2 linked regions of the Arabidopsis thaliana genome follow. The protein of the gene in region 2 interacts with the protein of the main gene of each other region in a pairwise test. Each region holds a gene or a part of one and is shown on either strand. Other genes may lie near its edges.

Region 1 (3,756 bases), on a different chromosome or scaffold from region 2:
CTGAAAGACATATTTGTTCTGAAGTTCCTTGGGAATCTTTCTCGTGATTTCATGTGCTTTAGCCAGGTAATCATTTACTACCCAAGGTATACTGTGGCATGTGGAATCTCGAATGAAGGACTTCAGAAAATTTCTACTAAATGGAAACTTCTTCCATGACAGATCCTCCCCAAAGAGCACTGTGTTATCATCTACTTCCTTGTTTTTGTCAAGGAAGCCTACCTCATACTGAGGTTTACTATCCCCATCTGATACTATCCTCAAGATTTTGCAAGGATGCAGTTCCCCATCCCTTTCCCCATACAACTCTGCGCCAGGGAAAAAGCAATCTTGCAACTCTGTCGCTATTTTGTCAGCAAGATCTTTCAATGAAAGCGTACCTTTTCAAAATGGAGGAAAAAGAGTCAGAAATAATGCTCATAAACCAGAGATTTCAAGTATTAAGAAAATTATCTTACACAAACAAATTCAAAACGGTAAAAAGGTAGTCCTGATTTGCAAAACTTATAGAGAGAAACCGAGAAAGGTAAAATCAAGACTTGGACACTCTGCAAATCAAGACTTCGACACACTTATATCACATAAAAATAATCAATGAAGGAGTTAAAAACTTACTGAATTGGATGATGCGTAAAGCAGGTGCAACTAGCTCTCTGGGCAGAGTTTGAACCTTCTTGCCTGCCAGTTTTTCTGAATCTAAGGCCTCCTCGTAGCTCAAGCTAGTTTTACCAGTAGACTTACAAGTCCAAACTCGGTTGCGATACAGATTTAACCTCTTCAAGTACAATCTATTTTATGTTAAGCAAACAAATAGTTCTGACACGGCATGTGCACTGATAAACATGAACAACCAAGCCTTTGAAGAATAATATGAATAAAGGTTGTCCCAGAATGAAACAGGCAAACAGAATTACAAGTTTTAAGCTTATTTCTCTTTCCTCTAACTGCACACAGAAGGAGAAGGCAAATATTCAAAACATAAGTCTTAAAATTGTAACAGTTACAGAATAAGGATACTGATAATCTCGAAAGATCTCATTTGTTAGACGAACTTGATAGACAAGTTCTTGAGGCTCCAAGTTCTTTGGGGGCTCCAGTAGTTTATGTGACTTCTTTTTTAGTAGAGGCATCCTTCAAATGGCAAAACCAACCTGCAGTGTAGACAAAAATGAATGGTCTATATAAGTGATTCTCATATTCACTAATGTGAAATCCTAGTAAATGTAGAACCAGGTCATCCAAGCAAGAAGGGAATTGTATACAAAAGCAAGACGTCACAGTTGTTCCAAAGCGGAAAATGTAAACCATGGAGAACAGAAAATCAACCCATAAGGCGTTTAAGGTGACACAACGGTCAAGTAAAACTTAGCAAACGTACAAATTTGTGGCACAGAATGCAAATGATTGCATGCAAGCCTAGAGCTGATTCTAATTTCTACTGAATTCGACAGAGCCTATGGAAAAGCAAGTGGTACTTGTGAGATCATGTGCAAAAAAGAAAAGCCAATGAAAAATGTTAAGAAAAGCAATGCAGAAGAAACCGAGATAGCACTAAACCCTAGAAAAATCGCAATCCCAATCGAAATTAGAAAAGATCTGAAACCATGGGACAAAATTGACACTTGAGAGCAAAGGAACCAAAACGAAACCGAGGAATCAAAACACATACCCAAGAGAGATCGAGAAAAAGAAAGCACTATCATGCGCCACTTTCGGAGAATCCAGAAGGCGAAACGGACAAGTAAAACACACAAAAAGCAGTCAAAAAAGCATAACAACACATGTAACAAAGAAGAGACGAACACAATCATCAATAACAAACAAAACGGAACGAAAATTCGAAGCTAATGCAACGAAATCACAACGAAGAAAGCAAAATCGCAGAAGAAAAGAGGATCGATGTTCCCGCCACAACAAAGAAAACGATTGGAGAGAATTATAAACAACGAAATTAGAGAGACTCAATCAAAAATCTTACGGAGAATGTATGAAATTGGGAATGCGCGTCGTCGAGAGAGAGAGGTGGTCTCTCAAGGAAAGAATACAAGTGTTGAGATCTCACCGTCTCTCTTCGTTTTTCTCTTCGCTCTCTCTCTCTCTCTCTCGCTCTCAGCTCTTTTTGGTCGTCGTCCTTCCTTATGGGAAAGACGGGAAAAAAAACTTAATATGCGAATTAGCCTCTCACCTTTTTTTTGTTATTTTATATCTTAAGTAGCACTCGGTTTCCTTTTTTTGTTTATACAGGTGTTGCTGTTTTAGAGCCCTATACTGTAGTTTTTCCTTTTTCTATAGTAGCCCAATAACTGGGCCTTGTCTTGTTATATGGGCCTTGAATCTTTAGCTTTAAATGGGGTTGGATTTGAAACCAGTATTTTATTCATTGCTTACGATTTAAAATGGTAAAGCCTTAACTCTCCACCATTATTATTTGATTAAATTCCAAATGATGTTTGACCAAAAAAAGAAAACTTCAAATAACCCACTCTAGAAACCAAGTCATTAAATAATGTTTCCTGTGTAAAATTCATGGACCAATCGAAATGCAGAAGAAAATCTTTACAGTAATTAGAATGGCCAACCAAAGTTTGTTGTTTTTGTTTTTGTTTTTGTCAACGACTCAAGATGATATTTATTTGTGTTTACATGAACACCCGCCAAAAATATGTACTAAAATATCTATTTCAAATATGGTATTTTATGGCCTAAAATATAATAACATCACTTTTTTCCTTTTCTTAAAACTACCACCACAAAACAACAAATCAAATTAATTAAATTCTTCATCCATAAATCTATCAAAACTTGGTACCAAACTCGTGAGTGACGAAGCCTCGACGACTTACACATATCAACACGTACTTTATGTGGTAGTTGTCTCTATCCAGCGGCCAAGATTTCGCCACGTCCTCACTTCCTCCCTCCTTAAAACCACTCGTAACACCATCCCCCAAATTACATATCCGCCATTGTTTCCGGCAACGCAAACTACCAAAAAAAATAATGGAGGTCGAAAGAGTCCAAGACATTTCATCTTCTTCTCTACTAACAGAAGCAATCCCGTTGGAGTTCATCAGATCAGAGAAAGAACAACCAGCGATCACAACATTCCGAGGTCCAACGCCGGCGATTCCCGTCGTCGATCTAAGCGATCCCGACGAAGAAAGCGTGAGGCGCGCGGTGGTGAAAGCGAGTGAAGAATGGGGGCTATTCCAAGTGGTTAACCACGGGATTCCGACGGAGCTGATACGACGTTTACAAGACGTCGGAAGAAAATTCTTCGAGCTTCCTTCGTCGGAGAAAGAATCCGTCGCTAAACCGGAAGATTCGAAAGACATTGAAGGATACGGAACAAAGCTTCAGAAAGATCCAGAAGGTAAAAAAGCTTGGGTCGATCATCTCTTCCATCGAATCTGGCCACCGTCATGCGTCAATTACAGATTCTGGCCTAAGAATCCACCTGAATACAGGTAAACCAAAACAGAATCATCAAAAATTCAAATTTTGTAAACCGAAGTTAACCGTTGGTTTAATGTATTAGGGAGGTGAATGAAGAGTATGCAGTGCATGTGAAGAAGCTATCGGAGACGTTATTAGGGATTCTCTCGGATGGATTAGGGTTAAAGCGTGATGCGTTGAAAGAAGGTCTCGGCGGAGAGATGGCGGAGTATATGATGAAGATTAACTATTATCCGCCGTGTCCTCGGCCGGATTTAGCTTTAGGTGTACCGGCTCATACAGATCTCAGTGGAATCACTC
Region 2 (3,619 bases):
CATTTTATATCCTAGTCCATGGCATTCTTTGAATATTTCTTAAAACAGAGGAAAATATTCTTTCTCTCTTAAGTCTCTGGCAACCAAAAAGGCTACATGTGCATATACACGAGAAATCAACACAACAACAATCTCTGCTTAGCAGATAAAAAAACATGTCAATTTAATTGATCTTCATTTAATTTATAGATTGTTCGGGTTGCTGATTCAGAAACATGTAGGTTGTTGTCGAATCATATGTACATGTTTGGTTACATAAGGCTCAATTTGTCTCTGATGTTTGTGATTGCTGCTAATATCGATTGTTTACATGCGATTAGTGTTATTTTGGGTTTAAAATATTGCAGCGACAAAAAAGCCTCTCCTCTCACAATCACAAACCACATGAAAGAGAGAAAAAAGCACACTAGTCTCTAAATCATATTGAACAGAGAAATATAAACACAAAGACTATCGATATATGTTTTAAAGAGAATGTCCTCAAGATACTAAGATGATCATAAAATCCAAAGAAAAGATTCTTAGTTATCATAAGTAAACTTGATAACGCACAAGAATTTATTCTGCTTCACGCTAAGCCTATACTCTTCTAGAGTCCAAGTTACCTTCACATCTTCTCCACCACAGAAGTATCTTTCTTTCTCCGTTTCATGAAACTTAAACACCTTCTTGAAACCAATAACTATCCCGGACTTTGACTTGATCAGCCTATCACGGTGCAAAATTTTCCAGTAACCACCATTAATGCATCTATCGGTTTTACCACAAGTCTTGTTAGCGAAGATGCAGGTTCCGTAATCATTAAACATCCGATCTTGAAGATCAACGAGCTCCAATGGATGCAGACAATACACATTGTTGGTAACGTAGCTAGGCCAATCGTTTCCTTCAGAAGTCATTATCGTCACCGGATAAGATACATCCTCCAATTGCTTATCTGATGAAAGGAATCCGTAAGCTGGCAACAGCTCATTTCGAGGAAGTGATTCTGATGTAGTGTAGAAATGCTTGGCTAGCAAGAAACTGATTTCAGCTTCAAACATAAACCGAATCTTGCAAATCACATGATCTTGCTTCCAGTTCAAGTTATTGGTAAGCCTATACTCTTCCATTACCCAACTTCTCTTGTATCCTCTAGGTTTCCTCTTTAGGCAGAACTTGAGAATCTTCTTGAACCCTTGAATCTTCACAGTCTCCGTCGATTTTATCGGTTTATCACGACCCATGATCCTCCAGCAACCAGTTTCACATCCATCGGTTTTACCACAAGCCTCTGTTCGAGGTTTAACTATCACGAAGCTAGGGCTCTCAGCATCGAACTCCACATTTGGATTCTTGTTGAACACGTCTGCGTCTTCGATGAAGTGATCAGGCCATGAGTCTCCGTTGACGACCATACGCTTCAGATAACGTGAGATTATTGCATCGTCTTCTGCGTTTAAGAGTTCGGCTTTGAGTAGATCAAAAGCTGCATCTTCCTCCATAATGAAACTAAATTGATCAAGAAAAATATGGGATCTAGAGAAAGAAAGATCAAACGCAAGAATGAGTGTTTGTTTCTTGGAGACGAAGCGAATAGGAAGAGAGTAGAGAATAAATGTGCTTTTAAGTTAGTAGCGACCGTTATTTATAATTTTCGTGGTGACCAATTGACTCTTGATGATCTCTCTTTATTTCGCAACTTTATTTCCCTCTTTAATGGATGGGTTCAAGAAACTAAAGGATGTTACAGTAAGACCACTAAGACAGAACTGCAGTAAGATTTGAGAGAGAAGTTTAGTTTACTCAAGGTTACAGTCTTTTTCCACTAATTATTTTTGTTATAGCATGCAAGTCCTTCTTATCGCTATGGGCTTGGTAGGGCTTTCTCTAGTCGTTAAATATGTTTCGCTTGAGTTTATTTCTGAGATATACATGCACATTCAAATAGACAATGTCTCATAGAGTCTATACATATAGATAGTCACGATTTTTATTTCCCATGGAATATTCAGAGTTAGCTCCTGTTATCTCGAGGATTCTGGTTTGCTGTTTCTTCTGGACTAACCCTTTGGTATCTTGCTCTAAATGGCCAAATGTTACCGAGTTGCATCCACCTTGGACGCCTTCTTTCAGGCATGTCTTGTCTAATAGGATTGCTCCTTTCTCGAGATTCAGCAACGGTGTTGACAAGTGGCAGGTCACGGCGGCAGATAGGGCAAGAATTGTTAAGCCTAAGCCACGGGACTATACAATCTTTATGGTAAATATGTTTACATGGTAATTCCGTTGCGTCCCCACCAACAATGAATTCTTCCATGCACACTGTGCATTGGGACATGTCGTTAGTTAGATGTTGTGGTGTTATTTTCACAGATGGTAGGGAATTAATGGTGGGTTCTGACGCAGGTGGTGGTCCAGGCCTATCGTCTTGTGTTAGTTGTTCAATCAGCTGCTCTAAGCTTGATGCTCCAGTAAAGTAATCATGTGAGTTCACATGCCGTGGTGGTGCTTGATTTGGTGGCGCAATTATGTTTCCGAGTGGACTAGTCGGATTATTGGGCCGGAGAATAACATATGTTCTTCTTGGTAGAGGTAAACCACCATTGTTAACATTGTCAAGGCTGTGTCGTCTTCGATGTTGCGGTCGGGGTCTTGATTCAGGTTCCAAGATGTTTCTGGATCTTGCCCTAAGAAATGGGTCTGCACCAAACCTACCTATGGTTGCAGGCTCAAACATGAGCGAGAGAGCTTCGAGAAGACGAGCCTCAGGAGAAGCATCAAAAGGCGGAGTAGCATGGTTGAAAGTAAACCGAGGCCGTTGTCTCGTTTCAATCTCAACGACAAATTGCCTCAAACATCGAGGACAGGCGATCTCTGATGGGTTAGAGGATGCAATTCTGACCATACGATCACAATGGTAGCACCAGTAGAGACCAAAAGTCCTAAATGCTCCATTGGGTGCACTATCGGTCCGTGTTATTGGCTGACTCAATGACATTGTTGGAAGGAATTGTTATACACAAGACATATAAACATTTACAACATTTATAGATAACGTTGAGGGTTGCATGAGGCAATTGAAAAGGGCAGATTCTTTTCAAATATAGGTCTTGGTTTCTTTGAGGCAAAGCTTGAGATGGATGAAGAAGCAATGCTCATTTTTTCTAGTTTTCTATGCTTTTAAGATTACCTCTAGCTAAAGGCTAGAATCATTTCTCGAATCCATTTATTTTTCTAAGGCCTGGACCGTTAACGAATATTGGGCATACTGAATTATTATGGTGGTTATGAAGGATCATTTTCAGTTTTAGAATTAACATAAATAGTTTTCTTTTAGAATTAGTAGTTTCAAATTAGAAGAATTAGTAATTGATTTTTAATTCCATCTTTATGCACTCAATTGAGCATTTAGAAATTGGAAAACGTGTTGATATGAAGACCCTATATTTTACTGCCATAGTCTCCATTGATTAATACATACATAGTTGGGAGACTAATGAGAGAAAATATTGTCCAAGAGCAAAGGCATATCAATATCACAAAGCATAGATAAAAATTGGAACACGAGTTGAAATGAAGACCATATCTCTCTGCCTTTTGCTTTTTTAGTCCAAGAATAATTTTTTTATCATAGCAC

What was found. The genes of interacting proteins can lie anywhere in the genome.
Region 1: the proteins of NAC024 (region 2) and AT5G08630 interact in a two-hybrid assay, tested with the Arabidopsis thaliana proteins (one large-scale study listed by BioGRID).

Annotation. Positions count from the first base shown.
Region 1 is NC_003076.8:2,801,009-2,804,764, forward strand, and holds the start of AT5G08630 (DDT domain-containing protein), read right to left. Parts: upstream 2,164-3,756; 5' UTR 1,979-2,163; exon of another isoform or gene 1,670-1,978; intron 1,152-1,669; 5' UTR 1,131-1,151; coding exon 1,018-1,130; intron 789-1,017; coding exon 616-788; intron 381-615; coding exon 1-380. Other genes in the region: FLS1 (flavonol synthase 1), read left to right, coding at 3,001-3,467, 3,539-3,756.
Region 2 is NC_003070.9:22,240,752-22,244,370, forward strand, and holds NAC024 (NAC domain containing protein 24), read right to left. Parts: upstream 1,485-3,619; coding exon 522-1,484; downstream 1-521. Other genes in the region: AT1G60360 (RING/U-box superfamily protein), read right to left, coding at 1,997-2,980.